Linked DNA regions of Pelodiscus sinensis. The protein of the gene in region 1 purifies or fractionates together with the protein of each later gene. This does not show direct contact. Links are inferred from orthologs where the notes say so. Each region holds a gene or a part of one and is shown on either strand. Other genes may lie near its edges.

Region 1 (16,450 bases):
TCAAGGAACTAATTTTGTGTTGCGTTTGATAAAAGAACTATGGTGTTCTGTTAAGGCTTACGACACTAAGTAAATCAGTTTACTTGATGGATTGATTGACTTGTTTAATCAAATACTGAAAGATGCTCAGGAAATCTGTAGCATTAGATCCTTTTCACTGGGACCAGTCATTTCCACTGTTTATCATCAGAGATTCTTCCAGCATCTGTGGGATTCTCCTCACATAGAAGCTCAAATCTCATGGGATTTTAGGCTTCCTCTGAGAAGCACAGGAGGAACAAGGACCTAACGTGATGAATATGGTGTAGCATGTACTCCATTAGGAGACTTTGCAAAAGAAAACTTATTGAAAGCCCAACAGAACCAAGAAAGGCCTATAACCAAGGGACCGTCTATGAGAATTTAGACCTGTTTACCCAAGAATCCTGAGCCATTCTCATGGGAAAAGAGCTTCAATCAGAACAGACAGCCCAAATGTAGCAGCTTGTATTCTTCCCTGGAGTAGTTTCAGCCTTTGAGATGGTCCCATCTGGCTTATCTTTACCTACCTACACAGCAAGAATCAATTCTTGAAAACCCATGACCACTCCTGTGAAAGATGTGTGACACCATCTAAGAGGAGCCATGTTAGACCAAGGATACTGGAAGAATCTTGCAATGATAGTCAAGTCCCTTTGTGCTGGTACCAAAACAAAATGTGGTGATCTGCCTTTCTTATTTTAGAAAGGTAAATGCAATATTGAAGTTTGATGCTTATTAGAAAGACTAGGTTAGACCGCAATGAGCGGTACTGACAGACCCCACTGACATCAGTCTTAGGAAAAGACCACTTTCTCTGCCCCATCCATTCTGCACCAATTGTGAAATATGCCATTTTACCTTCATGGGGCAGCAGTCATTTTCACTGAGACATAGATGAAGTGCTGTAACTACATGGTCAATATGGGTATGTCTACACTGCACAGCTATTTCAGGATACCAGAGGTATCCTGAAATAGCTACCCCGTGTCTACACAAGCTGCCCACTATTTTGAAATATTTTTTTAATAGCATGCTGGTTATTTCACCATCCCAATAAACCTCATTGCACGAGGAATAAGGTATGGCTTGAAACAGCATGTTATTTTGAAATTTGGCACTATTTCAAAATTCAATTGAAATAAGATTATTCTGAGTTTAGGGTGCTGTGTAGATGCACTCTATGCTGTGGTATATGTAGATGACATTGTGATTTACAGCTGTCAATGGAACAATCACATATGACATGTCATTGCCATCCTACAGACTCTCAGGGGGGTCCAGGTTTCACTGTGAATTCAGGAAGGTATTCAGGATTCACTGTGAACCCAAGTAAGATGGCATAGTTATTTTAGCTATATCATAGGAAGGGGCAAGTTATGACCATTAATTTGCAAGCTATAGGCCATAGCAATTTGGACCATCTCGACAACAAAAAACAGATCTGACACTTTTTTTGGCCTAGCAGGCTATTATAGGCATTTTGTACCAGACTTTGCCATGGAGCACCCCTCATGGGCATTGTGAAGGAAGCCAGTCCTAGGAAAATTTTGTCTGGAGCCTGTGAGCATTTAGACTTGTCCTCCTGTGCTTCTAAAAGATTGTCTGTCAGGAGCCAGTAAAAATTTACTAAGATTTTTCCAAAAAGTTCACACTACTGATGCAGAACAGGTCTTTCCCAGGAAGTTGAAGGAGAGGAACACCCAATCTCCTATATAAGTAGAAAAGTGTTGCCCCAGGAAGAAGTCTATTCAGTTACAGAAAACTCTAAGGCCAGGGCTACACTAGCAGGCAATGTCAAATTAAGGTGCACAACTCCAGCCATGTGAATAGCGTTGCTGGAGTCAAAGTACCTTAGTCGGTGTTGATGTGAGAAACTCTCCCATCAATTCCCCTTATTCTTCTAGCTTCAGTGGAGTATTGGAGTAGATGGGTTTTTTACTAGACCTGCTAAGTTGATCCCTGCAGGGCTGATCTCCTGATAAGTGTAGAAAAGGCCTTTGCTGTGAAACAGCCCGTGGATGTCTTAAGATGCTATTTGTTGGCAAACCACTTCTCATTAGTAACTGACCACACAACTCTTCGCTCACTGAACATTATGAAAGATTCCAACCCAAGAATTATGCAGACATACTTCTCCTTACAAACATGACATTTTCAGGTATTCCACCGAGCTGGGAAAGCCCACCAAAACACTGATTTTTCCCCAAGAAGGAGGGGGACCAGAGAGTGGAGGACAAAACTCTGGGTCCCATATTGTGATGGGGCACACAAACCTCACATTGGAGAAGAGATAAAGGAGCTCTGGACCCAGATGGCTTCACCCTACCTCACCTGTAAAGCTGGAAACAGATTAAACAGGGAAGAAGAGCAGCTCTGAGGCAGGCAGTAGAAGGAAGTAGACCTGAGCTCTTGGATAGGAATACCCCAGGAGTTCTGGCTGCCTGAGACATGGAGACACTGACCTAACCAAGCCTTCACAGGAGGGACTAGTGAAATTTTAATTTTTATATTGAGTACTTCACATTGTGAAGGGAAGAGTAGACACTGGTAGGAAGTGATCCAGAGGCAGCTGCATAGTACCCCAAGGTGTATGTATTAGCTGTCTACCATTGGGGAGGCACCAGCCATTTAAACCACGTCTGACCCTCCAGCATTCCTCAAAAGTATTAATCACACCCCCATTTTTTAAGATAAAACCCACATGATGTAAATCATTGAGATGTGTCATTTTAGTGGGCAGAGAAAGCATATCCACATTTGGGTGTGGACTGCATTTTTGCAAAGCTTTATGCAGGAAAAAAAGAAACAGCAGCATAGACCTAGCCTAGAGTGTCTACATCAACCCGTCGATTGCAATCGACTTGTCGATTGGTAGGGCCCGACCAGTCGATCGTGAAGCGTTTGGGGGGGGCTCCCCATTTCTCCCCACCCCCAAGAAGCCTCACTGCCTACCTCCAGTGACAAGGGGGGTAGCGCCAGCTTCCTGAGGGGTGGATGGATGTCCTGCAGCTGTGCCTCACTTCTGGGGTTTCAGGAAGTACGCTGGCTGCTCCCCCTCCCCTAAACAGCCAGCAAGGTACCAGACCCAGGTCTGTGGCATGTTAGGGACTTCCTGCACGGCAGGGAGGTTGGAGTCCCTGGAGGAGGCACGTGCGGACTTCCTTCCTCTGTGCGGGCAGGAGGTGGTAGGAGTCCTCGGAGGAGGCGCATGCCGGGACGTGCTTCCCCTGTGTGTGTGGGGGGGAAGGGAGGTAGGAGTCCCCAGAGCAGTCAGCGTGCCCTGTGGGATGTGCTTCCCCTGTAGGGGGGAGGAAGCAGGAGTCCTCATAGGAGGCGAGTGCTGGGGACTCCCTGTTCCCTGCCCCCACCAACACCCTGTCCCCTGCTGCAGCACCCACTGGTAGCCTGCTACCTGCCCCACCAGCCTGTCCCCTACCCCCACCAACACCCTGAGCCCTACTATGGCACCCTGTCTCCTGCTTCAGCACCCACTGACACCCCATCCCCATCCCAAGCACCCTTCCCCAGTACCATGTCCCCTGCTCCCACCAGCACAGTTAGGGCCACATTAGTGAGGCTCGGGGGGCATTTGGAAGAGGGGTTTTTTTTTTTTGCATCTCACTTATGTGGCCCTGACTGACTTTTCTGTGGGTCAGTGACCTCAACTCAAAACAAGTTTTCCCCCCCCTTCTCATAAATAGGGACAATGCTGAAACCTTTATGTTTGACCTATTTTATTTAAAAATGAAGCCAGGCCAACAAACCCCCAATTGGGGCTAAGCCCCCATCTTCCCACAGCATCATAACGCTCCTGTACGCCCTGCCCCCTCCCCCCCAGGCCCTAGATCTCAGCCTATCATACACTGGAACCCTCTATCCTGAGCCTCTCATATTCCCAAACTCCTGCACCCCCACATCCCCAGTCTTCTGCCACGACACTTCTGCACCGTCCACACACTGCAGATCTGTCCTGACCCCATCATACGCCCAACCTCCGTGCCCTGAGCCTCTCACATCCCCCAACCCAAACTCCTGCACCCTCACATCCACAAACCTGTGGCTTGCTCAGTTCCCTAACCCTTCACCTGACCCTAACACTATCCAGCCTGGAGTCTCTTCCCTGAACCAGCATCCCCTTCTCCACCTCCTCCTGCATCCAAATTCCCTCCCAGATCTTGCACCTCTCACTCCTTCCCACACCCAAATCCCTTATTCCTACCCCAGAGCCCCCACACTGTCTCAACCCAGTGAGTGTACAGCTAAGCTGCTGGAGTTTTTCTGGGATTCCAGAGGTATCCTGGAAAAACTCTTCCACATCCAGGGACACATTTGTCCTGCTTTTTTTTAGCGGAAGAGCAAACACACTCTTTCAGCAACCCCTGTATTCCCTGTTCCACGAGGAATAAGGGGGCTTCCGATAGAAGGTTTTTTTCTGACATTTGGCCCAGTCTAGACAGGCCAAATGTTGGAAAAACCTCTTCCTATAGAAGAATCGGGGTGGGGGGAAGCAGCAGTGTAGCCATAGCCTGAGAGTGTATAAGGGCCAGGGATAGCAAATGTTGGAGAGAAGAACAGAGAGGGTGGTGCTTCAAGGAAGGGGTAGAGTCTTGGGGGAAGGATGGGGCGGAAGGATGGCTTGTTCTGATATTTAATAAGTGATCTTGGGTGTAAAAAGGTTGGAGACCATTGATCTACATCATAGGAATAGTTACTAATCATGAGCCTGACCTGATGAACTGCTCAACTTGCAGGGAAATAATGAGAAGTTAAGGCTGCTTAATATCTGCTAAATCAGGCCCTAGAATACTAGAAAGGTATTACATGGATCACTATTTGTGGGATATTGAGTGGCTCCTGAGAAGTGGAATCAGAACTTCTAACTTTTGCTGACTTCAATGGGAATTGTGTTTTCATCAGGTCATGAAGTCCCAGAAATGCACAGAATTTAGTAAGCACTTAAATGTTTCTTTCAGACCATTTGTAGGAAAGTGTTGACAAAGCAGTGGTATTTACAGTTTTGTTCACTCTGGGCTTGATCCTGAACATATGTTGTAACAATATGGTTTTTCTGTCACCATGTTGGAAGGCCTGTAACCATATTGGTAAGCCTGAACCAAAGCCTTCTTCTGCAGCTAGAGTGGAGAGCAGTAGCAATTAGCTGTAAGGCCTAGAGTCACACACTCACATTCCACTAAATGAAACAAACAGGACTATGTAGCACTTTAAAGACTAACAAGATGAGCTTTCGTGGGCCAGACCCACTTCCTCAGATCAAATAGTGGAAGAAAATTTGCATGATCTGGCCCATGAAAGCTCATCACCTAATAAGCCATCTTGTTAGTCTTTAAAGTGCTACATAGTCCTGTTTTTGTTTCAGCTAGACCAACTAACACAGCTACATTTCTATCACTATTCCACTAAATTGAATTAAAATAGTGTCACACCAGGCTGTGAGAAGGGGATTTTGTCCTAATAGCCCCCCCACTGTTACCAGATAAAGAAACAGATTTCAAGATGGGTAAAGAAAACTTAAGTTAACACCATTCTGTCTGGCAAGAAACTACTTATCAATAGTTGAGGTTGTGGAATCCGCACTCTATGATTATTGTCATCGCTTTCCTTTTGTTTGTCTATGCAATCTCTGTCTGGTTTGTAACTGTTTCTGTCTGTGGTATAATCAGTTTTGCTAGGTGTAAATCAATTAAGGTGGTGGGGTATGATTGGTTGGGAAATTCTGTTATGATTGGTTAGTAAAATTATACTAAAATAATTGGTTAAGGTATAGTTAAGCAGGACTCAGGTTTCATTTATATAAACTGGGGTCCAAAAAGTAATAGGAGCAGAAGGCAAGAACAACAACAGGGAAACAAGAACAGGAGGGAACACCAAGAAGAAGGGGAAGAAGACCTGGAAAAACTACTCACCTCCAAGACGTAGCCTAAGACCAAAGCTGCCAGGATTCTCCTGCATGACAGTGATGTGCAGCAACTAAGATCCAGAGAGACTGATCTTGCCTGGCCAACAGAGGAAGTCTGCCTACCTATATCAGGATTGGTGACCATGACGCTGTGTGCTTAGCATGTGTATTCTGCTTGTTTGGAAATAGTAAACGGAATAAGAATATTACTGTGTTAGGATCTTTTAGTGGCTAAAGGTCCTGGAAACCTGCAGGAAATTCCACCCTGAGCCCTAGGAATTGGGTAAGGGTGAGTGTGTAAATTAACAGGATTGCATCTTGATCCCTAAAACTAGGTAAAGGTGTGTGTCCCTACAGTGTGGAAGGGATAGAGAAATTTGTGCGGATAACAATGAGACAACTCCCATTGACTGTAATGATGCAGGATCAGCCTCTTATGTAATTAATGTGCACAGTACTCGTTCTGCTGAGTATTGGTGTCCTGCCTCTCTGTAAAATTTTATTATTTATATAATTGTAAAGCTCACAATGTGCTAGACACTATCTCAAAGAAAGATCTAGGCTCCAACCTACGAAGGTTAACATTTAAGGCTGTAAGAGTCCAAATTGAGCTGCAGATCACTGCATCTATACAGAGCTCTACTGATTTTAATAGAGCTCTGCATAGGACTAGGATCTACCTCTATAGATCTTCCACTATTTGATCTGAGGAAGTGGGTCTGGCCCACGAAAGCTCATCATCTAATAAACCATCTTGTTAGTCTTTAAAGTGCTACATAGTCCTGTATTTTGTTTCAGCTACACCAGACTAACATGGCTACATTTCTATCACTCCTCTATAGATCAGATACCTATGACTAAGAAAAATGCTTAAGGTCTGTTGTTTTAAATCCTAAACCTACAAAAAAATTTCCCTGAGTAACCCTATAAAATTTAGTAGCAAAATTAAGCATCTGCACCAATGGTTGCAGGACTGAGGTCTTAATTAGGATCAGCTGTCTCCCAAACTGCCCTTTCACTTTAGTCAATGACTAGTTCACTAATTTCTTGTAAGGCACATGGAAGAAGTGTGCCTTGAGGACAGATTTAAAGGAAAAGAGAAGTGGCCTGTGAAATGAATATGCTTGATATAAACAAATAGATGACAGGTGTTAGATATAATGAACCTGTGTATTACTCAAGAGAATTTTAACTTTTATATGGAATGCCTTAGAGTGTGGAAGTGAAGGCAGATGTTCCTAGAATCTATATTTTTTGGAAAATAAATTTTGTGCATGATTTTTTTAATGTACGAGTAAATTATATATAAACACAATTTTTTGATTGGAAGTTATGCAACATAGGGACAATCAGTGCTAATTTATATGAAAATTAGGAAACTGATCTGTGAACTAAGATGCAGGCTATTTTGTCACCATGAGGTTTTAGGTTCTCAAGTGTATTATAAGCAGTCAGATTTGGCTCCAGGATTTCTGATGCTCTAAGCAAATTGGCATCCCCTCTAAGCCTGCAGTCTCTACCCATTTAGCTGCCTTGAAAGCTTTGCTACTTTTAGGCAATCACCTCTTCATCAATGATGGGAGCAGCTGTGAGGGCAATACAGTTGTTAAATCTGATTCTGCAGACCCTTATGCATGTTTACATTTATGCCTAAAGTTAAACACATGTAGAAGTATCTGCATAGTGAGGGTCTTAAGCCAGTATCTTCATTTTTTGCAGAACTGGTTCTGCTAGAATTATTACTATTATTTTAGCATAATATGCAATATAGCAAAGATGGGATGATTAATTTTTTTTGAAAAACCCACCTGACAGGCAAGCTCTTGCTCTTTTTTTTTTATTTTAATTTTAAATAAAGCTGTCTATGAACTTCAGCCTCGGGAGAGCTTCATTCAAATCAATTAATCAGTCAGCCTCTCCAGTGACTAGCTTTCTGGAGACAAAAGTCAAAATAGGATTTGAGAGTGAGTTTTGCATTTTTATGTTAATTTCTTTCTTCAGTTCTAGCTGTCTTACATCACAGTGCAATCCTGGTTTCTTGTTCTCCTAGCCAATTTAAGAGTTCAAGGTGCAAAGACTAGCAGAATGAGGCCCTTATATTACAAAGATCTATCCTGGAAAGAAATATATAAAGGGAAATTATATGTCAATTAGACCTTCTGCTACTTTCATCCCTCAATCCTCTAAACAGTTATGCATATGCCTAATATTATTAATTAGGCTAGCCCATATGATTTCAACAGATTACTTACAGTTCAAGCACCTGTATGTCTGCAGAATCAGGATTCTGCAAGTAGCTGAATAACCTCAACTTCAATTAGATGGGTTGAGGTCAATGGTCACTCTAAATTTTTCCTGTGTACGGAATATATTTTGTTATGTGCACCAAGGCACGTACAGTTGTGCACCACCAATAGAAACACAGACTGCCAGTTATGGGCACTCTGCCAATCAACTGGGTAGCATTTGAATCTCTCCGGGGTAGCCGCCCAAGCACACAGCTTACAGGAAACACTGGTAGGGAGTAAAGATGTTAGAGTGGTTATTTTGCTAATTGTGTAGTAGATACAATTTGTATTGACTACACGATTAGTCAATAAGGGGAGCTGCTCTGCAAAGCCACAGTGGGGATAGCTTCTGAAGCTGATGCAAGTCAGGACTTAGCAGTCCTGGCTTGCACCAGCTCTGGACTGCTGCAGCTCTGCATTTTAAACATAGTAAGTGCCTTTTGGCCCACATGCTCAGGGGCTGCTCCGGCAGTAGCCCCTGTCTGAGGCTGGCCCTGGGTGCGGTAAACAGAAAAATGTCTGCCTGCAGCCAACCTGGGCCACTGCAGATAGGAGCTGCTTTGTGGCAGCAGCCCCTCTCCCTGGCGGGGCAGCTACCTGCTGAGACCCCCACAGATGGGGCTGCTGCTGGAGCAGGCTCTGCCCATGGCAACCCATCAACCTGCCATGGGCAGAAGCTGCCTCTGATAGAGGCAGTGGCGGTGGGGTGGAGGCAGCACCAGGAAGACAATGCTGTGGGCAAGTAGCTTTTAAGTCAGCCCCGCCCCGCCTCTCATACAGAGGCAGCAAGTGTGTGGGGGGGAGCAAATAGTTGAGTTCTCTATTACCTGATAAACTTAACCTTATAGGGTAGTGCAATACTGGACTACTTGCTTACATCCCTAAATTGGGAGTGCTCCGCATCTTTTTGGTGCTGACAGTACAGTGGGGATTGTGTGAGATTTAGGTGAACACACTATTCAGCTTGCTTGGTGGACTCCTGAACAATGGGTCCCCTCTGTGCACCAGCAAATAAGGTTACTCACAATAAGGTGCAATATCTTATTTCACAAGTAGTCCTACTGACTTAAGAGGTGCTAATTATGATGTAAGATACTGTTCAGAATCAGTTAAGAGTATCACAAATGTGTGTGGGGTAAACAAAAATGAGCCCTTGTTTAATTCCCCACTTGCCATGCTACTGAAAAAAGTTAAATAAAGTTACACATAAATGTAACATTCCCCCCCCCCCAAAAAAACTTTACACTTGAAGACATGTAGCCTAACACAGTCTTTGAGCACTGAAACATATATGTATGTGAACTGTTGCTAAATCTCCCCCTGAGGAGGTGATGAGTGTGGCCTGGGGCCCTTGATCCTGCTGCTGCTGGAGGAGGCGGTGGCTGCTGGGGTAGCACAGCTGTTACAGTGCAGCACTGGTCCCTCCTCCCAGCTGCGGCTGCCTCATCTCCCCCCACCCAGCCCGTCCCTCCCCTCCGCCGCTCCCGACGCTGCTGCTGCCGCCGCGGCCGCTGCCACCTCCTCCTCCCCACCCCCACCCTCTCTCTCGCTCCCCATCTCTCTCTGTCCCGTTCCCCGCTTCCCCCGCCTCTCTCCGCCCTGCCGCCGGCGGCCCTGGCAGCGCAGGCACCGCAGGGGGATCTCAATGTAACACCATGACAGGCATCGCCGCCGCCTCCTTCTTCTCCAATACCTGCAGGTTCGGGGGCTGCGGGCTCCACTTCCCAAGCCTGGCTGAGCTCATCGAGCACATTGAGGACAACCACATCGGTGAGTGGCCGGCAGCGGGACCCCCGCCGCAGCGCTGGGGCGGGCTGCATGTGCAGGGGGCGTGTGTGGGGGGGTGCATGCCGTGCACGGGCAGGGCGGAGGAGAAGGTGCCGGGGCGGCTGCATACTGGGCATGGGCGTGTTCGGGGGCGCGGGAGGCGGCATGGCCCGGCGTGGGGAGGCAGGGGGGGCACGAGGGGCTGCGGACGGGGGCGGCGCTGCAGCGGGGAGTGAGTTTGCCTTGGCAGGAGGCAGTGCGGGAGCCGGAGGCGGCGCGGGGAGGGGGAGGAGGACGGGCACGGCACGCCGCCTGCTGCTTCCGCCCCGGCTCTGGCTGTCAGGGCTCCGGGGAGGGAGCCGCGGCGGCAGCCATTCCGCTTCCTCCTCCTCGCCGCTGCTGCGTCCTGTCAGCGCTGTTGCTAGGTGTGGTGGGGAGGATGGGGCGCTGCCCGCCCGCGGCAGCCTCGCTGCCCTGAAGGCGCCTCTCCAGGGAGGAAGGGTGGCGGGGAGGCCGGCGGCCGGGTGGGCGTGGAGGACCCCGCCGCCGGCGGGGGTGGAGGCTAAGCGACGGCGGCGGCTGCAGGGGCGAGGTCTGCGTGCGCCTGGTGCCGTGCCCGGGGTCGGCAGACGCCGTGCGACTCCGGCAGCCGGGGGAGAAGGCACCCCCCGGTGCAGCGCGGGCGGGGATTCTGCTGCTGCCATTTGCTGCTGAGCCGAGGCCAGGCCTCGGAGCGGCTCCCGCCGGGGTTCTGGGGCTGGCGCTGCGCCTGTCTGGTCATCACCTGTGGGGTCGCTCGCTCGCTCCCCTCCCCCCCCCCTCCGTGCACCGTGTTGCTCAGACAAGCGCTTTCAACAAGTCCCCTGCCCTGGATGCCACGCTCCCGAATTCGCCGTGAAGATCCGCCCTGCGCTCGCTCCGAGGGGAGTGGGGGCAGGGATTATGCCCAGTGCATTATGCAGCAGGGGGTGGGGTGATGACTCGTCACTCTGTTGCCTTCGGGAGGCTGCCCCTGGCTTTGCATCTCCACGCAGCAAGTTTGCAGTAATGGGCAGGTATGAATGGGTGAGGGCTGCCCCGGGAATCGACATGCTATGCAAAGCCAAAAGTTAACATGAATAAAAAGTTTTTTTTAAAAAAAAAATTCTTCCTGTTAACACGTGAGCAGATGAGAAAATATGAGGCCTACATTCTATAGATGCTAAACTCTGTTTTTGAAAAAAGCGTAAGAAAAATCCAGCAAGTCGGCTGTGGGTTTTTTTTGAGAATCCCTGTGTGGAATCAAAATGCAGGACAATGTAGCACTTTAAAGACTAACAAGATGGTTTATTAGATGATGAGCTTTCGTGGGCCAGACCCACTTCCTCAGATCTTACATTCCCTGTGTGGAATGTAAGAGTTAATACTTGAATAGGGGGAAAAAGTGGGTAAGTGGTGAGAGACACCAGCTTTCACGCTTATTCAGAGTTTGAAAGTTTCTTTGTCACCAATAGCAGTTGGTCAAAAGATTTTACCTCACCCACCGTATTTGCTAGTATGTTGAAACTGACACAGCTACATGTTATAGTGACTTTTAGGCTACCCTTCTGTGTAACTGCTTTGTTGAATTTTATTAACAGAATATAAATTAAGCTGTCAAATATAATTTTCTTCAAAGTAGAAATTTGACAGATTAGTGACTAGTGATTCATTTTGATGTGATAAGAGTACTATATTATAAAGAAGGTGTAAATAACTACATTTGCTATCATTCAGTAAATATATAAATGAGCCTTATGCCATTATACAGTGATGAAACATACATGCTGTTCCATTTTATGACTTCTTTAATAGGCAGGCCAAACATTTGAACAAATAATTGAAATTGTTATGAAGTAATAAACTTTTAAAAATTAGATTAAACTGCATTAAGAAAGTGTTAAATGCAATTTAAATCACAGAACAGGAAATTCCAAAGTATGGTTCCCATAACCATACATTTTTGCATATGTGATAAAATAATGTACAAACAGCAATTCTCTTTTAGGTTTAGCATACCACATCTCAAACTAAAAAAATACCTAGTGTACTCTTATTATAATCTCAATCTATGTTGTTATAATGGATTCTCATTTTGGAACTATACTATAATGCAGTAATTTTAATCTTTGTCTATAGTGTGTAAGCCATGTTACACGAGGAAAAAGTTTTGGGTCATCACAATAAGACATAGGTAAAGCGAAGATTGTCATGATTGCCCTAACCCATTTGAATTTGTTTGCATCCTCCCAGATTGGGAAGCCATGCTATAAACCAGGCCTGGGCAAAATACCTTCTGTGGGATGGATCCAGCCTGCAAAACCACCGGATCCAGCCTGTGGATGCAGCAGGGAGCCTTAGGCAGACTCCCTTTTTGCCCTGCCCCCAAAACAGCTGAGAAAAGTAGCTGCTTCATCTGTGAGCCCAGTGGAGGCAGGAGCAGTCCTTAACATGCTGCATGCACATCTAGCATAATCCCATTGGCCAATTTCTGGCCAATGGGAGCTGCCTTTTTGAAGAACAGGCAGCCCAAAGCACCACTTTCCACCCCCTCCCCTCAGGCTCATATTGACCAACTCATGTGGCCCCTGCAGCCTGTGCGGGGGCAGGGCAGGCAGGGAACCTGCCTGAGAAATGTCCTGGACTGCTGGCTGGGATTCACCCATGTAAGTCTCCCTGCCAGAGCCTGCCTCTGGCGCTCTAGTCCCTCCCTTTCTCCAACCCTCTCCCTTCCCACTCCTTCCTCTCTACCCTACATAAACCAAATCCTCTGTCTTGCTCCTGAACCCATATCCCACTCAGACCCTGTACCCATGCCCCTGCCCTAGGTCACGACCCAAACCCCTGCACCCCCTCCTGTACCCCAGTTCCCTGCTCCAGGTCACAACCCAAACTCTTGCACCCCAGTCCAATGCCCCAGGTCAGAACTGTCTCCTTCACCCAAACTCCCTCCCAGACCCCACTTACTCCCTGCAGCCAAATCCCTTACCCCAAGCTCCCTTCTGCACCCAACTTCCATCCCAGACCCTGCACTTCCTCCATTAACATCATGGATGAGTACAGCCCTTGATCACTTTCCAAAATCTTGGAGTAAAAAATTATTGCCCTCCCCTGCTATAATCCAAGCCACACATCATTTTTGGGCCTGCAGACCACAATAAGAGAACCACTGATGTACAAGTGTACAGAATTATTTCATATGCATGAAGGGAACGGCTGAGTTACATTAGGAATCTATATATTTAATTTGTTAATATTTGTACACTTAAAATTAATGTTACTTTGATATATATTTATATGTAATGCTTTTATTTTCTAAAAGAAAATTGCAGTGGATCACATATTAGATATCCATTTATACATTAATATGAGCATGTGATATGACACTGCTTTGACTACATTTATTTGAAGGTTCTTCTGTATGGGATTACACAAGCAAATAACAGTACGCAAGTTTGTGGAAAATGGCATATAGTGCTTGTGATTTTCAAACATCTTTAATGGTTTTCTACAAATGTGCGCATTTTTTTTTCCTGTATGTAAGCCAGCGAATCACTGCATGGGCTCAGAAGTCTGTCCATGCTGAGTTTGGTGTGGAATTGGATCTTAAGTGGATTTCTAGTTTTATATTTTAAAAATACATCCTATCAGAGGTGAGCCAGTAAAATCAACTGGAAACATTTTAACTTGGTGAAGAATTCTGAGCTAAATTCAAGCTCAGTGTAAGATTCTGCAACTTCATTGAAGTCAGGGCTTAGTTTGATTTTGTTATTCCCTCAAGTGTATATAGATGCAATGCATAGTAAAGTCATTGAGAGTTACAACTGTTAAACTGAGTCACAATTCTTCTATCACACTAAGACTTTATAAGCTCTTCCACATGAGCAAGACCCCATTACATTCATGGAGCTGCTTGGGAAAAATCCTAACAAAACTTTCAGAACTTCCTAAAACTTTTCCATTTTATCATGAGAAAGTTCAGCTGAAAGGGAAATTTTTGAAAGGTGAAAATGGGGAGCCTATGAAAACTGTGTTCACATTGTGTGCTGTGAGCACAATACTGTAATATTCTCTGAGTGATTTTTGTCATGTTGATATAAAACCAGGAAGGGATTCATTTTGGACATATAGAGAACATGGTAATATTTTTTTTAAGACTAAATGATGATTTTGAAGACTTCTTTGTACTTTTCTGTAAAAATAAAAACAATAGAAATAGATTTGATTGTGGTGTTAGTTTAAAAAAACTGTCTTGGACAATAGTTATGCAAACAGTTAAGGTTTATTGTTAGTTTACAGTTGGTCCTGCAATCTGCTTTGTGTGGACGGATCCTTACAACATGGAATCCCATTGCTTTGCCCAAATGAATCAGATTGCAACATTGGGGTCTTTAAACATAACACGTGATTCTGACAGTTTCTGTTTTCAGAGTTAGAATGAATCTTGACTATTAACAAAATATGATTGATTTGAATTTATTAATTTGCACTGTATGTAAAAGAGGGAAAAGGACAAAATAAGTATTTTAATTCTTCAATGCTACTTAAGGGTCAGTTTTTCCCACCAATATTCATAGAGTAAGGTGCAATATACTGTGATTAAGAACAGCTTTTATATACAGGCAGTCCCTGGGTTACGTACAAGATAGGGACTGTAGGTTTGTTCTTAAGTTGAATCTGTATGTAAGTCGGAACTGGCATCCAGATTCAGCCGCTGCTGAAACTGATCAGTTTCAACAGCGGCTGAATCTGGACACCAGTTCCGACTTACATACAGATTCAACTTAAGAACCCCAGGCGTCCCCAAGTCAGCTGCTGCTGAAACTGATCAGCAGCTGATTCCAGGAAGCCCGGGGCAGAGCAACTCTGCCTCGGGCTTCCTGTTGTCAGCCGCTGGTCAGTTTCAGCAGCGGCTGACTTGGGGACGCCTGGGGCAGAGCAGCTGGGGTGCTGCCGGGTTGGTCCAGTAGCGCCAAGGAGCGGTGCTGCGGGACCAACCGGCAGCGCCCCACCTGCTCTACCACAGGCCCTGGGCTTTGCTCCACGACTCCCTGGTCTGCTGGGGGGGGCACTAGCTGATCTGGAAGCGCCGTGGGTCCGGCCCTGGGTCCTCCGCCGCTTTGCTCAACGTCTCCCTGGTCTGCAGACCAGGGAGATGCTGAGCAAAGCGGCGGAGGACCCGGGGCCGGACTCGCGACCCTTCCAGATCAGCGCCGTGGGTCCGGCCCGGGTCCTCCGCTGCTTTGCTCCCCGTCTCCCTGGTCTGCTGGCTTCCCTAGCAGACCAGGGAGACGGGGAGCAGCTTTTCTCGCCCCGGAGGAGGCGGGCGGCGGGACCAGGTGTCCCGCCGCTCCAGTCCTCCGGGGCAAGAAAATCCCCGTTCGTAACTGCGGATCCGACATAAGTCGGATCCACGTAACTCGGGGACTGCCTGTATAAACTGGCCTGTATGTTTTGGCACCAAAATTCCCCAGTAACATTTTTTTACCTTCAAGTGTCAGTGGATGACGTTTTTGAGAGATTCTGTAGTTGTTTTACTTAGAAATACAAAATTCCTCCATGTGACAAATGTGACAAACTTGATATCTATCAATGGACTTCTGTAGAGCCTTAATGTTCACTTTATGTATTAGATACAACCTATACCAAGCATTGCCATCTCTTTATGTGGTTGGCAGGTGAAGAATAATTAAACTCACATTTGGTGCCACAGACTCATCCCAATATATACCAAATCTGCAATCTAATATTTAAGAATCTATGGTGGAACCTTCTGGCTTGGTTAGGCTTTGTCAAAAATAGTTCTCAGGCCTACCAAAGGGACCCCATGCACTCCTTGTTGTAAAGGAACCAAATTCTGTGGGAACAACCCCTCCATTGCACAGCATTAACTTATTCTGTTGCCATAACAGATAACCCTCATTCCCATTTTCTGCCTCCATTTTCTGCCTACAGTTCCTAGATAGAGATGATGTAAAATTCATCAGATTCTTTTCTATGATAATTATTTTGAGAGAGCTTGCCATTACCCAGTAGGCTTTAGCTTTCATGACATTGTCCAGACTCCGAGCCTCTTTGCCCAGGAAGCATAGATGATGGAAAGTGCAGGCAACGGAGGGTTGCAGCCTGGTTTGTGGGAGAATCTTCTTGTCTCTTGGGGTTTGGCTTCAATGCAGGCAACCCAGCTCACTAATCTACATGTTTGACTTTTCTGTACACTAACTAGATGCTTAATTTCAGCTGTTATTCCTTGATCTGTGGAATGACACAGAGCAAGGACTGTAATCCAATGAACTCCCCTTTTTGGGTGTGCAGGGGAATGAAGAGCAGCTACAGGCGGGTCCCAGCAGGGCAGGAAGACAAAGAATAAAATGTGCAGGGCTTGGCTTGAGCACAAAGGCAGACTCCACAGGAAACATGGCTGGTATTGTGGTCTTAT
Region 2 (16,248 bases), on another chromosome or scaffold:
TACTTCAAAAAGACTTTAACACCAGATTACAGAGAGAAACTTCAGAACTTTCATTCATGCTTAAATTTGACACTTTACGAATGGGCCTTAACAAAGATGCTAATTACCTTACACATCATAAAGACACCTTTCCCACTTATCACCCCCATTAGTCATTCATTGACTTATAAACAGCTATTCCCTCCCTCCCTCTCCCTCGCCCCACCTTCTGTTCTAAATCTGATTTGTCAGTTTAATAATGTGTTCACTTTTTTCCTTGTATTCCTTTGATACAGTAGACTTCTGATAATCCGGCACCCTTGGGACCCAGGTGGTGCCGGATTATCAGAAATGCCGGACTATCAGGAGGTACTCTGGCAGGGGCGGGTCTCGTCGAAGGAGAAGTGGAGGAGGGGGTGGGGGTGTGCCAAACCCTCCCTCCTGCTGCAGGGAGGCAGAGCCTGCGAGCGGAAGAGGAGAGGCCGTGACAGGCAGGCAGCCGCATTTAGGATGTTCTGGTCAGTTACAGTCACTCCGGCTGGATCCACAGCCGACACGCAATTAATGTAATTTCCTCTCTACTGCCGGTAGGAGGGGGGCAGGGGAAGGTAGGGGTTGGTGGGAGAGGGGAAGGGAGAGGAGGAGGGGACGAGGGTGTGCCAAAGCAGCCGCTTTCAGGACGTTCTGGTCAGTTACAGTCACTCCGGCTGGATCAACAGCCGACACACAGTTAATGTAATTTTCCTCTCTACTGCCGGGAGGGGGGGGCAGGGGAAGATAGGGGTCAGTGGGAGAGGGGGAGGGAAAGGAAGAGGGGTCTCCCACTGACCCCTACCTTCCCCTGCCCCCCCCTCCCAGCAGTAGAGAGGAAAATTACATTAACTGCGTGTCGGCTGTGGATCCAGCCGGAGTGACTGTAACTGACCAGAACGTCCTGAAAGCGGCTGCTTTGGCACACCCTCGCCCCCTCCTCCTCTCCCTTCCCCTCTCCCACCAACCCCTACCTTCCCCTGCCCCCCCCCCCCCCCCCCCCCGGCAGTAGAGAGGAAAATTACATTAACTGCGTGTCGGCTGTTGATCCAGCCGGAGTGACTGTAACTGACCAGAACGTCCTGAATGCGTCTGCTTTGGCACACCTTCGCCCCCTCCTGCTCCCCCTCTCCCACCGACCCCTACCTTCCCCTGGCCCCCCCCCTCCCGGCAGTAGAGAGGAAAGTTACATTAACTGCGTGTTGGCTGTGGATCCAGCCGCAGTTAATCAATTACTCTAACAACTTGAAGCAGCTGCCGGAGCACTTCCGGGTTGCAGTTGGTGCCGGACCATCAGGTGTACCGGACCACTGGATGCCGGACCACCGGAGTTTTACTGTATATATGGTCATGCCAATTCTCTTTCAGAATATGATCTGAGGAAGTGGGTCTGGCCCACGAAAGCTCATCACCTATTAAACCATTGTGTTAGTCTTTGAAGTGCTACATAGTTTTTCTTTTTGTTTTAGCAATATCAGACTAACACAGCTACCTCTCTACTACTATTTAACAAATTGGAGGAATTGGAAATGGATATTTAAGGAAGGAGAGATATGTTCCAGTTTTCCAGTAATATTTATACTATGTTTTTACAGACAATTATTATGTACCTTAGTCAAGCATAAAATTGACTACTAGTAATAAAAGTCCCTGGCAGAACATGACAACTAAGAATGTGAAAATAAACATTTCTGATTTTTCATCTTCAGTCATATTGGAGAAGGTCATGACCTTAATTTTAGTGGACTCTTCCTGGTTATTAAAGCAATTCAATTCCTCAAACTAGATGCCAGACACTATGTGGAACAGTGGTGACAAGTCAATTACTATCCCAACAGAAGATAACACCTTTTTGTAACTGCATATCCATATTTACAGTATGAATTATAAATTTTTTTGCATCAGTTTATTATAGTATTATGAGTTTGAATCGTAAGTAATGTGATGAATTATATTCCAGTGTAGCTAGCTAATATGTCAGTGTGACAGACTGCTGGCTAAGCCAGAGCTCTGCTACCGTAGCCTGACTAAGGGAAAACAGCTGAGTAAGCCCAGGCCTGCAGGGCTATCAGAAGCAGCTGTGGGCCTCACAGAAGGAGAGCTATATAAGGCGGAGGAAGCAAGCCACAGGGGGAAGAAGGAGTGGCATAGTTTGTGCCCAGGTAGAGAGATGAGCTGGCTAACTTCTAGTACCTAGAAGGGAGTGGGAAGTTACAATAAAAGGCATGGGTGACTGCACCAGATGGCTTGTTGACTGATTTGTGGACTAGCCGATGGACCAGACCCAGGTGCCTGAGTGGGGACTCTGCCACATGTGGTACCAGGAGTGGGGTGCAGCACCAGCGAATGTGGTTGGTGGCCCAGAAATGGAGGAGACCTTGCAATGGCTGGTCAAGTAGCAAGAGAAAGTGCAGCAGGCCCTGCAAAGTTTTCAGCAGTCCCACCAGGCAGAGAGACATGCTTTGCTAACCTGGCAGGCAGAGCAGCAGCAAGCCTGCAGGAATTTATAAAAGAGCAGAGCAAAGTGCAGCAGCAGCAACTCCTGAAAAACTGGCGAGTCCTGGGGAAGAGGATGGTACCCGGCCGCCAGGCCTGGGACTCTAAAATGGAGCCAGCAGATGACCTGGATTCATTTTTGAGGACATTTGGGTGGGCAGCCATGGATGCTAGATAGGATGGCCTACCTGGGCCCTGCATCTGGCTCCCTACCTGGCAGGAGAGGCTCAAGCGGCCTATGTGGCCTTGGAGGATGACCAAGCCCATAGTTATGAGGCAGTAAGAGCAGCCCTTTTGGACCAGGTGGGTCTGTCCACAGAAAAGTACCAGCAGAAGAAATTTGTCAGCTTGATGGACCGCAGATGTGAGGCCCAAAAGCTACTAGACTGGGCAACCCGTTGGCTGAGGCCAGAGGCACAGATGGTGCAAGAAATACTGGACTCGCTCATTCTCGAGCAGTTGCCTCAAGCCCCTCGGGAGAGTGTCTGTGTGGGTTAGGTGCCACCAGCCTGACACACTTAATGCAGCGGTTAGGTTGGTGGAGAAGTATGTAGAGGCAAAGGTTCCCCGGAGAGAAGGCCAACCCTCTAGGGACAAGGAATCAGGGAGAAAGCCAGAGGAGCCCCTTTCTGAGAGGTCCAGAGAGGAGGGAGTCACCTCGAGGAGCAACTGTGGGGGCTGGCACTATGACCAGCTGGCAATGTGGGATGCCAGGGCATAGAAAGCAGGACTGCCTGGACCGTATGGATTGTGGACATGTGGGGTTCTGCAGGGTGATTCAGATCAGAGGACCTGACAGGAGGCAGTGTCTGCCCACTGTCCAGATCCGGGTGAGGAGAAAGGCCCAGCGAGGGCTAATGGACTGCATCGGCCCACTCGCTCACACTGGATTCTCCCTGGAGTAAAGGTGGCACTAGAATGTGTCCATGGGGACAAGAGGTCCTGCCCAGGTGCCACTGGAACTGAGAGGCCGTTCCGGTGGAAGTGGGTGAGGGTAATGGACCAGTTACCGTATCCAATGGTGGTAGGTCAGGACTGGGACCAATCTGCCACAGAGAGCAAGAGGGGAGCCTCAAGGAAGGTCAAGAATTCCCCCAAGGGAGACAGAGGCATAGCCATTGGTGCTACAGGTGTGAGGAACTAGGTCACGTAGTTGGGTGGTATCCCAGTCCGGTAGGGACAGAAAGGTGGGAAGCAAGTCTGGTGGTAATGGGTAGCCCTTCTCCCTCTCAGGGAGATGAGGCACAAGTGGATTGCTGCCCAGAGCTGTCCCCAGAAGTAGAGACATCAATCCTGGTGGGGGAAGATAGTGCAGCACAAAGAGGAGACCAACCCTGATCTCCCCCTCCTCGCCCCTCCCCCCCCCCCCCCCAGTGCAGGTTAGAGCTGTATTGGAGGAAAGGCCACAACAAGGCTGCGGGTGGTGTGAACACCTGTGGGCAATGCCTGAAAAATTCGGGCCTGGCCCTTTCCACTGTGACTTTCATGGGGAGGGAATAAAAGAGCCCCCTGGAAAAGCTCCAAGGGAGGGTTTGTACACATGTGGGGATTTGCCCAGAAGGGAGACCCCCCCCTTAGTAAGGGCCAGAATGGCCCAGGGAGGGTGGAACCCCAGGGCAAGGAACAACTCCCCAAGGGAAAAAAAGGGGAAAAGCCAGCCCCAGGGGCAGAGTGTGTTAAGGAGAGGCAGGCCCAAACCTGACACTTCATAAGTGGGGAGGAGTGTGACAGACTGCTGGCGAAGCCAGAGCTCTGCCAGGGTAGCCTGGCTAAGGGGAAACAGCTGAGCAAGCCCAGACCTTCAGGGCTATCAGAAGCAGCTGTGGGCCTCACAGAAGGAAGGCTATATAAGGCAGAGGGAGGGCCGGAGGAAGAAAGGGGGGAAGGAGCCAGGGTGTGGCTCAGCATGCTCTCAGTTAGAGAGAGGAGCTGTCTAGACTGTAAACTTTGTACATAGCCGGTGGTGGGAACTTACAATAAAAGGGACGGGTGACTGCACCAGAAGGCTTGTCGACTGATTTGTGGACCAGCCGGTGTACCAGACCAAGGGGCCTGATCAGGGACTCTACCACAGTCAGCCATACAATATTATGCTGTAAATAGATTGTGGGATGGATTTAAATTTTCTGATGAAAAGAGAAACTCCTTAAATATACCAAACTATAACTGGTTATTTTAATGTTGTATTTACTGTGTATGCAAAAGTGAATGTGTTGATAGCATGAGGGCTTTGGGACCTGCTGATACAGGTTGGATATCCGTGGTCTGGCATGATTGGGACCAGTCAACAAAATCTGCTGGTCCAGGGGAGGGGTTCCCTTCCCCAAGCCAGCTGGCCCTCTGACTCTGTCCTCCAACCCCCACACATTATGGCTGCCAATCCCAGCCCCAGACTGCCTTTGGTGGCCAGGACTCTCTGGCTCTGGCCCATGCTGCTGCATGCAGCCACGTTTCCCCAGCCCCGCACTGCCATGGGTGGCTGGACTTCTCTGGCCCCTAGTTCTGCAATTTCCCAGCTCCACCCTGATGCGTGCTGCTGGGATTCTCTGGTTCCTGGCCAAGCACTGCCCCCGGCTACTGGCCCTCCTGCCTTTAGGCTCTCTGGTTCAGGAGCATCCGAGGTCTTGTCGGACCATGGATGTTGCTGGATCAGAGAGTACCAGTTGTCAGAGGTTGCAACCTGCACTATGAAATAGATGACAGTTGTTTGCAACAGTTGCAGTAGGGATGTTAAATTTAGATTAATCAACTAATCAGAGTTGGAATTTCCATCGATTAGTCGATAAGGGCACTTCTGCTTTGAAATGTAGCAAGAGTCTGCCAGGTTGTTGCTACATTTCAAAGGCGGAAGTGCCACACGACTGAAACACTGTATACAACCTGGTGCCAACAGGAGACTTAGGGTCCCCCACTGGCCCCAGGTTCCATGCCATGCTTCCACTTTGCAATGTACAAGTGCCCTGGTGGAGACTCCTGTACATTTCAAAGGCCAAATGCTTCCACTACACCCCTGCCTCCTCCCACAGAGCTTTTAAACTGGCTCCCCCAGCACCCCGTTTTCTTCTCCCTTCCTTGCTGCTTCTTTCTGATAGAGGCAGCAAGGGGTTGGGGAAAGAGACTAGCCAACTAGTTGATTAGCTGCTAACAGCCCTAAGTTACAGCTGAATATTGTGAAGCAGTAAGCTCAAAGAACAAATCTGTTTCAGCACCATTTTGTGTAAACACTGTTCAAGCCTGGTGAGCATGGTCTATCAATGGTTAGCTGAAACAGCTGACTAAAGTTTGCCCTTTCCAACACATTTCAAATGAAGCCATGGCCTCATTAAAGTCTATGGAAGCTTTCCACTGACTTCAATGGCACCATGATTTCATAGTTCATCTTCAAATTCAGAATGTAAAAATGTCTGGCCCAGCATCATTCTGCCACTCCCCACATGCACTGGCTCCTGTCTGCTGCTGCTTCCCTCCCTGCGCTGCTACCTCTGTATCAGAGGAAGGGGGCTTCATATAACCATTAAGATTAATCGATGAACCCAGACTCATTGGTTCATGTAAATGGGTACACAAAAAGGAGGGCATGAACTCTTTGGGAGATCAAATAAGCCATCAAGACAGATTCAGACCCAGAGAGACTGGGTGATTTTTTTTTTTTTTTTTGAGGGGAGAAGACTGACATGTCAGTTATTCTGATATAACACTGTTGCATAGGCATAGCCTTCAAGTCCTGGGCTTCACAACATCCTCAGGCAAGGAGGATTTCTTTAGCTCAGGAATAATAAATATCATATTTTGTTTAGTTTAGTTCTGTAACAAAAATGAAAGATGGTTTGAATACCAGACAAGGTCTCGTGGGCTTGGTTTTGTTTCAAGGGATGCAATTTCCCTCCTCCTCTCTTCTCTCCCGTTGTTTTTTTAACCATATAGTGGAGATTCTGGTGCTGCTGTATTTAATAAAAATTATATCTGCTAAATAAAACAAGTAATCAGGAACTGTATACACTGAATAAAAGGTCACTTATTTTCTATCTACACCTTCTTCCTTTTATCTTCCCAGTCTACAGTTGTGACACCCTTCATTGTGACAGATCCCACCTTGCTTTGCAAAATACTTCTATACAACACTGTAACACCCTCTCCACAGAACTGAAAGAAACAGCCAATTTATTACACAGCAAAGAACATAGGTTGGCCAAGGCACTGGTGTAAAATTTGTTCTACCAAAAAGGCAACAAAATCATTACTCTGAGAAGAAAGCAATCACAAGCTCTGAGGTGAAATACTCTTCATTTATTGCACTGGGGCGAAGTGAAGCTGTGTCATTTCGGGAAGGTACAACCAAGTCCAGCAATGCTGGGATCTGAGCCTATAGGTCCCAAGGAATCAAACACACTATCAAAGTTCTTCTCAGTTAGGGGAAACCCGATTACAGCGTGTCCGGGAATACTACAGGAGTCAGGTAAACTGACTACTTGGCGCAGGAAGGAAATAAAAATCCTATGGCCAGGTTGCAGTGCAGGACCCAGGGAAAGGACAATTAGCGAGGGAAAGGCCAACGCTGTAAACCCAGGCTAACATCTCAACGCCAGGCTCGGCAGGAGCGGTCCGTGGATAACAACCCCGCATCCCAGAAGCACTTCAGCCAACTGCGCCTCAGGATCCAAGTGTTGAGCCAGCCCCACATGCTGCCTGGCTCCTAGGAGCCCAGGAGACCCAGCTCGCAGCAAGCGCCATAGACCTCCTCCCGCACTGATGACCGCAGCTCCAGCGCCGCCGGTCACTACACTCTGTGCCCCGAGACCAATGGGCGCCGCGCTCCCAGCCCTTCCCACGCCCCCTGGCGTGAGAGCCGCACAGAGCAATTTTTCTCTGAACCCAACAGGAAACCCCGCCCCCTGATCTAACCAATCGGCACAAGTTAAGGCGAAAAGGCCCGCCCCCAAGGAGCGGATTGGTTAACGGGTATGCCCGTTAGGCCGCTTAGCCCGCCTCCCGTCTAAGAAGAAAAACACTCGAGGGACACCGCGGAAAAACACAAGATGGCGGTGCTGGCTGACAGCCAAGTCCCAGGCGGAGCCGACGCCATTAGACCCCCCCCTTTCCCTCCGGTGTGAGCTCTGTCGAGTTCCGAAGGGCCCGGCCCTGCCATGGGGGAGCGGCCGGTAAGATGGCGGCGGTCCCGGCCCCGTATGCAAAGTACCCACCGCCCCCTCCCCTCCGCCCTCCCGGTGGCAAAGGTAAAAGGGTCGGGTTCAAGCCGCCGCCTCCGCCCGCTCAGACTCCATCTTCCCTGTGTGTGGCCAGGGTTCCTCCGCGCCGTGGCCAGACCCCTTCTCCCGCAGCCCGCCCGGAAAGCACGCTGCTCGCCCGCATGCCGGACCGACTCGGAACCTAGGCGGGCCGGACCCCGCCAAGCGGCTCCGAAGCGGACTCGGACTCGATCGGCCCAGCTATTCCCAGAGACCCTTTCCCGAAGCGGCCTGCGAGCCCAGCCAGGCCTAGGCACGGTCGGCGCTCAACTACCACGGGCCCCCGGAGGCCGAACAAGGGGCCCGCAGGGCTGGACTCTGGCCGTTTAAACCGGGCGTTCTCTTTTCCCTTGGAGCGGCTTGGCCCGACTCCATTCCCGCCGCCCGGCCCGTTACGATCAGCCAGCGCGGGGTATTTTTATTTAGTAAAAACATTTACCTCAGACTTTGGCGCCAAATGTGCCCCGACGGTGACCCGGGTCCGACCGGGCCTGTTGGGCAGCGGTGCCAGGCGACGGCCCGGAGAGGGCGGGGGGAGGGGTGCTCGGGTTAGTATTATTTGTTATGGGGGGGGGGGGTTGTTTTGGTTTTGCGCCGTGCCCCTGTGAAAGGTCAGAGTTCGTGACCCCGCCTGCCGCTGCTGCCGCCTGGGAGCGTTTCCCCGCTTCCTCTTCCCAGCCCCACGCCGGCCACGGCCCCCTCCTCCATCCTCGCGGGGCGGGGCCGGGGGACGGCAGCGGCGGGGAGGGGCTACCTGAGTGCCTGGATGGAACGCTCACACACCAGCGTTCCAGCCGGCCCCGGGGGCAGGAACGGCGCTTTCCCGCCACCGTCCCTTACCTTCGCCCCCGGCATTGCTGGGACGATGCTGTGCTGCTGGAGCTCAGACTGGAAAACTGTGCGGCCTCCTTTTGTCTCTTAGTGAGGGGAGAGTGAGCAGACGCGTTTATTCCCCTCCCCCGAAGTTATTGTGGTAGGGAGAGGTCACAGAAGATAGCTTAGACATGGAGATTACTCTCCTCCAAACCTTATTACTTTACTGTGAGGAGAAACCCTTTATCCCAGTCAAGTTCTGTGGTCAGTCATTGTTTTCCTCCTGACCCGTGAGGCTTGTGTATAATCTTCTACTTTGAGGTAATTGCCTTTTAATTTAAGGTCGGTTATGTGTAAAGTCTGTGTGGATGCTCCTCAAAGCTTTACCCTGTGGCTTATACACAGGAATTAGAGGTGTGACTGCAGCATGGGTAGATGTACTCAAAATAACTTGAGTCTAGGGCAGGGGTGGGCAATAAAAAGGCAGAGGACCTCCAGGGTTAGTCCCTGCTGGGCTGCTGCTATAGTTACTGCACCTCTAGGTATTGGTGATTGCAGCTCTCATTGGCCACAAATCACCATTCCCAGCCAATGTGAGTGCCAGGAACTAACCCCATCAGTCTGGATCTAGCCTGTGGTCCGGTATTTGCCCACCACTGGTCTAGGGCAGTATACTAGGTATTTATGTCAGTATAACTTTGCTGCCCAGGAGTATGAAAAATCCACACTCCTGAGTGACACAGTTAAACTGACCTAACCCACAGAGCAATATTCCCACTAATCTTTTTAATTGGTGTGTGGATTTTTTTCCATCCATGTGCGGAATAACTTTTATATGCAAAGTATGTGCACATGTACACCATTGGAAACCTAAAGCTTAGTTGTGGGTGCACTGCTAATCACCTAGCTCGCATGTGAATTTCTCCTGAGGGGCAGCATAAGCACATAGCGAAATACTGCCCAGAGTAGACCACACTAAGTGGAAGGGAAAATTATTCCGTAAACCTAGCTTCTATCTCTGGGATAAATGGGTTATGTATGCTAACAGGAGAACTCCTCCCTTCTATGAAGGTAGTGTCTTCACTGACGCATTGTAGTATTTTTGCATAGACCAGCCTTAACAGCAGTATCACTTACAGTGAAACTGCAGCAGCACAAACTTCAGTGCAGACCGTATAAACCTGAAAGGAATGCTTGGTTCTGGTTAGTAAGATAGGTAGCCTGCACTGCAATTTGTGCTGTCATGGCTTCACTGCTGTTGGTACTCCTGCTTGCAACATTAAAACTAGCTGACATACATCTAAATGAGCATGAGTTAACTGTAGACATACTCCCATGATGTGTTTTCATCAGTAAAAATGTGCCATTACAATGAGATATTTATATTGGGAAATTATTTTTTTTACTAGTGAAAACAGTTGAAGGAGGTGCCCTGTGCTTTTAATCAGCATAGAGTTTGCTTATGAAACCTTCAAAGGCTATGTCTTGACAGCCAAAAAGGAGATTTTATAGTGAGTTCTCTTTTAAAATCCTAGTAGAGATAAGGCACAGGTAGTTTTTCTCTTCAGTGAAGAGGCCAATACTTGTAGAATCATGCGTCTCAGGCTAGACTCCTGGATTAATAGTTCACTCTTCTTCTGTTCACCAAGATTTTGGATGTCATAGCAGAAAGACATCTTGTGTATAGTAATGAATAAACATAAAGTAAAATCTTCAAAAAATAGCCAGTGTGTATTTAATTTATTTTTATAATAACTGGTGTGGAGAAGAATTATTTTTTTAAAGTGAACTTTTAAAATATGATTTATAGTTAACTACAAATCTAGAAGCTTACCTTTTAACATGTAAATATTCTATGTGAAGCTTAAAATCATTAGGACCTGGAGAAGATATTTAAGTATTTTTGTAAAAGGTATTTCAGATAAAATCAGATAATAGAACTAGACTTAAGAGTAGAATATTAGTACTTAGTAAAACAAATATAGTGACTATTGTGGTTCTGCTTGTGCAAGTATGTATTGGTTGCTGTTTCTCCATTTAAATATCAGTCTTTCAAAAAATTTGGCCTTGGTTATGGAGAGAGGTATTTGTGAACTTTACAAGGGAGGCCTAGTTTGGAAAAGCCCTACCATTTCATAAATGTCATTTGATACAACTGGCATGTGGTTAGAAAGTGTTTTACCATTTCTGAAATGTACATTTATCACAATATTCAAGTGCTTCTCAAGTAAACTAAATTTGTCTGGAGGTTCTCTAGTGGACTCTTAGACTTCTTACATCACTATTTATACAAGTATCTGCTTCAAAATGGGTTGTCATTTTTTGGGGTGGAGAATAAGGGATGTGAATGGTTAATGGGTTAGGCTTACTGGTTCCGGTTAACTGATGGAGGCTGGAGCAGCTCTCTGCCCATCACAGGTTGGGGGCTGTTTCAGCCTCTCAGAGCCCACTATGGGAAAAGAGCACTTCAGCTGGCTGGAGAAGCCCCTATCTGCAGCAGTCCATCCTGGGTGCACCACAGGAGTGACTAAAGTGAGAGTTTTGCTCCAGTAAAAGCTATAGTTATGAGTCTGAGGTACATGTCTTTGCTGCACTGTTCAGCATAAAAGAAAAAGCAAAATGCTTAAAAGTAGTCAAGAAACTACTGTTTGTACAGTACCTGTCGGGGGGAGGGGGAGCTGCTACAGCCCAGTTGGGCTGGCATGCCCCCCCCATCTTTAATTACATTTAACTGGTTAACCAGTTTACTAGGGATGTAAAATCCCATTTAAGAGGGTTTAATGAGGAGAGAGGGATTTTTGTTTTTTTGTGAAGTTTTAGTTATGATGGAAAAGCTTTAATAAAGGCCTGTCACATGAACAAATTATACAGGTTTAAATAAATTGGCTTTGAAACTGATTAAGTTAAACTGGTGCAATCCCTGTATTGATACTCTTAGTTTGGTTCTAAGAGTATTTTATCCATTTAACTCAAGTTGATTTATTTTATTGTACTCTATGGCTGATCACTTGTCTCATTATTTCCTTGCTACTTGCCCTTTCGGTCTGTCTGTCTATCATCAATATGTTATCTCTTGGCTTATCCTTACATTGGTGCAAGAATGGTGTCTTTTTTTTTCTTTTCCAGTTTGTGCATATGATCAATAGCTATGGGTCCTGAGAAATAATAATAGTGTGCTGTTTTACTATATTGTCAGCCTCTTGGCTTTGTAGTTAGGAAGTTTGCCTCTCTCGAACACAGATACCAAATTTAAATCTGCAAGATTCTTGTTTCTTGAATACTTTTAAACATTTCTGCCTGTTTTATGCTTAACAGTCACCAAAGGCATGTACTTCAGGCTCATAACTGTGGCTTTTACTTGAGTAAAACTCACTGAAGTCTCTGGGAAGTACAATAGGCAGCCTTTACTCAAAAGATTATATCTTAAAGCCCACACACGGACATGCCTTGTTGGTTTTCACATAAACAGTGGCAAATTGAAATGTTGAGCTAACCTTTTTATTAGCAAAAATGCATTCTTTGATCTTGGTGATATAATTTTTGGAGCAATATTGGGTGAGATTTCTAATATTCTGGTATTGAATTAACAACCAGCTGGGGGTCTGATTACAGTTTTGAAGATGCTACATTGTGCTATGTAGCTTTTTTTTTCTTCCTGGGAGCAGGTCTATAACCCCCCCCCTCCAATAATATTTACTGTTAAAAAAATTATTCACTGTTGCATTCTTACTTAAATAGCTTAAGTGTGTGAAAGTCTTGGTTAATAAGCTCCTAAACCATAAGTAAGGGATATATGTTATGGGGGGGGCACTCCTTTTTTTTTTTTATTTAGAAACTAGCATATTTACCCGATGTTGCCTGGGGTTTTATGGAGAGGCTCAGGGTAGGGAGCTGGAAATGTGGTGGGAGCAGGAGTCAGGGTTGGGGGATGAGGAGGGGTTCTGGACAGGGGACTGTGTGGGAGGAGAGAATGTGGGGAGGGCAAAGGCTCCCTTCTCCCTCCCCTCTCCCCCCCCCCCCCAAAAAAAAAAATCGTACCAGGGCTTCTTGCTTCTCTGGCTCCTCCTGTCAGGGAGTGAGAGTAAAGTGCACAGCTAGCCTACCCCTGTCCTCCACAGCCAGAGTGAGGGAGGCAGCAAGCTATGCACTTTCCCCTTGCTCCCTGATGAATGGGAACAGCCAGTACTGTGCTTCATATGAATCCGGGTAAGAGGGTTTCAGTCCTTTCTACCCTCCCTAAAGGGCGCTAGGATGTGGAGAGGCTTTGGGCGGGGCATTTTTGGATGGGAAGGAGTGTCCTGGCCAGCCCTTCACTTGTCTGGTAATTGTCTCTTTTCTGTATGGTTTTATGAGAAGCAATCCCATTCCAGGCACAACCAAACCCTTAGGCTGCTTTGAGTTATGGTAACAGGAAGCTGTATACCAAATTTGGTCCTAGCTTTTACCATCTAGGAGTTCTCCAAGAAACAAACCCACACACACACACACTCAAATATATATTAGATTGGTAAAATCAACATTTATTAAGCAAATTTTCGTGTCTCCTCAGGCTTCATATGAAAAAATTCTGTTCAATTAAAAAAAAATGCTTAATGTATAAGAATAGTATTCTTTGATAATGCCAGTAATACTTGAAAGGAAGAAGTAGAATCTTGCTAATTCATACTAAGGAGTGGGAGATGCTTTACTAAATAGTGTACATGAAAAAGGAGATTTTAAAAGATTATGGAAACTATATTAAATCTTCCATAATATGAGAACAGGTGTCACTCAGCTAAATTTAATTGTTGCATCAGTATAGAAATCTTACCCCACTATGGTCCTGAATAGGTAAGATCATTATGGGCTCTAGAACTGGATGATGCACTAAATGTTGTGACAGTATTGCAGGATCTCTTTTCTAGATTATTGTATCCCTTTCAGGAGTCTGATTTGTCTTGTGTACCCCCAAGTTTCATCTCACTTAAACTACCTGCTTAGAAAATTTACCAAATTATAAATGTCTCAGTGCACTGTTAACAAAAAATTGCTTACTTTCTCATTCTTAGCATATAATATGAAACAACTGGAATATTATAGGACTATAATAGAGTTTAAAGAGAAGCTAGATAATTTCATGGAGGTTAGGTCCATAAAAGGCTATTAGCCAGGGGATAAAATGGTGTCATTGGCCTCTGTTTGTCAGAGGCAGGAGACAAATCACTTGATCATTGTCTTCGGTCAACCCTCTCTGGGGCACCTGGTGCTGGCCGCTGTCGGCAGACAGGATACTGGGCTAGAAGGACCTTTGGTCTGACCCAGTTCGGCTGTTCTTATGTTATGTTATGTATTAATATTGTGCTACTTTTTCCAGTGTATAGTATTTAGAGCAGTACAGGCAGTCCCCGGGTTACGTACAAGATAGGGACTGTAGGTTTGTTCTTAAGTTGAATTTGTATGTAAGTCGGAACTGGTACATATTGTAGGGGAAACTCTAGCCAAACATTTCTCCAGAGCTCAGTTTTATTCTCCCACACCTCACTTCCCTCAGTCCTTTATTCTCAAGCTAAGGTGTCTGCTGAGAAAAGCCGCTCCGCGTCTCTCTGGTCTGCTGGGGGGAAGCAGCTAGTGCGGGGTTGCCTCACCCCGTTTGTAAGTAGGGATCCGATGTAAGTTGGATCCATGTAACCCGGGGACTGCCTGTATAAGCAAATCTTTGTATGGAATTTTAGTTTGTACAGACTCAGTGCTTTTTTATGTAGCCTCTTGTAAAACTAAGCAAATATCTAGATGAGTTGATGCAGAAGACTTCGGCATGCCCCAGAGTTACACATACCTCTTTATGTATTTATACAGAACATTTTTGTATGTCAGTACAGGGGTTCCCTATGCACTTGTGGCTGAGTGTACTAAGAGGGTACTTGTGTTGACAAGGGTCACATAGTTACATAGTGCAGATATTTTTTTAAAAGTTAAATATTTTTATGATCAATAGTAAGTAAAATAATTGTATTTGGTTGGAAAATGTTTAATCAATTCTTATGCTTTAGGGTATGAACTAATATGGGGACCAGAAAGGTCTGTCCTCATTGTACAGTTGAATACACAGGCATTTCATTTATTTATTTATTTATTATTTAACTTTAAATCCTAGGGTCAGGGTGACTATCGAAAGAAGGATATTGAATTTGGACTCCTGGGCTATGTGGTAAAATACATTATTTCATAGATTTGAGTTCTGTAAATAGATTACTAATATTGCTTGAGAGCACAGCAGACCAAAAGGTATCTTTTAAACCATTTCTGCATATCAGACAAACTAGGGGGCTGTACCCCCTCCTTGCTACGCTCGCCCCTTCCCCCCTCCCGTGGGGTAGGCAACCCCTGGCGCTCTGCCTGGCCACTGGGGAGGGCTGGGCTGCGGCCACGCCAGCCTTTGCCCTTTCTCTTCACCCCCCCCTGAGCTGCGCCACCCCAGGCCCTTTTTCCTCTCTCCTCCCCCACCTCCTCCTCCCAAGCCGCACTAGCCCGGGCCCTTTTTCTCTTCCTCATGCCCTCAGCAGTGCCAGCCCAGGCCCTTTTTCCACTCCCTCTCTCCTGAGGCACACCAGCCTGGGCCCTTTCTGCACTCCCCCTGCACTGCTCCAGGGTGCCCCAACCCAAGTCCTTTTTTCTCTCTTCCCCGCCCCGGCCTTGCCATCCGGGGTCCATTCTCTCCCTCTGCCACTCCCCCTCGTCTGCGGCCTAACTGCCCCCGTCCAAGGCTGTGCCAGGCTCTGCGCTGCCCCCAGTATCCTGCTGGGGCTCTTCTGCATTTCAAAGCTGGCATCTGCATGCAGCCTGGAGTCAGCAGGACTTCCTGCTGGACTGGGGCTGCATGTGGAGTTCTGCATTCCTCCTTTGAAATATACAAGTGCCTTCTGACTAGTCGAGTAGTTGATGGAAATTCCATCGACTACTCGACTCGTCAATTAACCACTAGTTAACATCCTTAGAACGCATACAGCTAGAGATTGTTTAATGAAAAATCCCTTCAGAATTTATGAATAGGAAAGATTAATTAAATGACACTTATACAGCTACAGCATGTGTCCTCAGAACATGCTTTCTGCCAAATGTTCTATGCCAGGGGTTCTCAAACTTTGTGATACTGCGACCCCCCCCCTCTAAATTGCTTGTGACCTCCTTTTAAGTTGCTCCCGACCCCCCACGGGGGAGGGAGGGTGTCTGGACCCACAGTTTGAGAAACGCGGTTCTATGCAATACTTAGTTTTATATTTTATAGAATCTCATTGGTAGTATTGCTTATTGTTTTTTCTTACTCCAGCTGTACTGCTGCAATAACATCTTAAGTAAAAAGTAAATTAAGAGCCATCATTCTTTCCAGGCTATTAGTCAACGACAAGTAACAACTTTTAGCCAAAATTTGTTACTTGTGATGCAATAGTATATTACAGATATTATTCAGTGAACTGAAACTAGCCATACTCCTTAATATATGCCATACCCCCTATTATATGGCTTCAATGATTGTAAGAAGCATTCTAGAGGAGTTTTTAGTGTAAAATTCAAATGACCAGTTAGTATTTTGATTATACAACAGTATTTGTCACAGAGTTTGAGATACACTGTAAACATAATTTGGCCCCTTTGTGTATATATTATTGATAGTCTTTTTTGCGTTGTTCTGTTTTTCTTTCATAAG

The links.
Region 2: the proteins of JAZF1 (region 1) and NR2C2 purify together in Homo sapiens (affinity purification with mass spectrometry; 4 studies listed by BioGRID and IntAct, with this or other methods). This does not show direct contact. The link is inferred for Pelodiscus sinensis from reciprocal best matches to the Homo sapiens genes JAZF1 and NR2C2.

The regions. Positions count from the first base shown.
Region 1 is NC_134712.1:195,789,087-195,805,536, forward strand, and holds the start of JAZF1 (juxtaposed with another zinc finger protein 1), read left to right. Parts: upstream 1-9,735; 5' UTR 9,736-9,881; coding exon 9,882-9,996; intron 9,997-16,450. UniProt on the Homo sapiens protein: Acts as a transcriptional corepressor of orphan nuclear receptor NR2C2. Inhibits expression of the gluconeogenesis enzyme PCK2 through inhibition of NR2C2 activity.
Region 2 is NC_134721.1:20,679,636-20,695,883, forward strand, and holds the start of NR2C2 (nuclear receptor subfamily 2 group C member 2), read right to left. Parts: upstream 8,442-16,248; 5' UTR 8,191-8,441; intron 1-8,190. UniProt on the Homo sapiens protein: Orphan nuclear receptor that can act as a repressor or activator of transcription.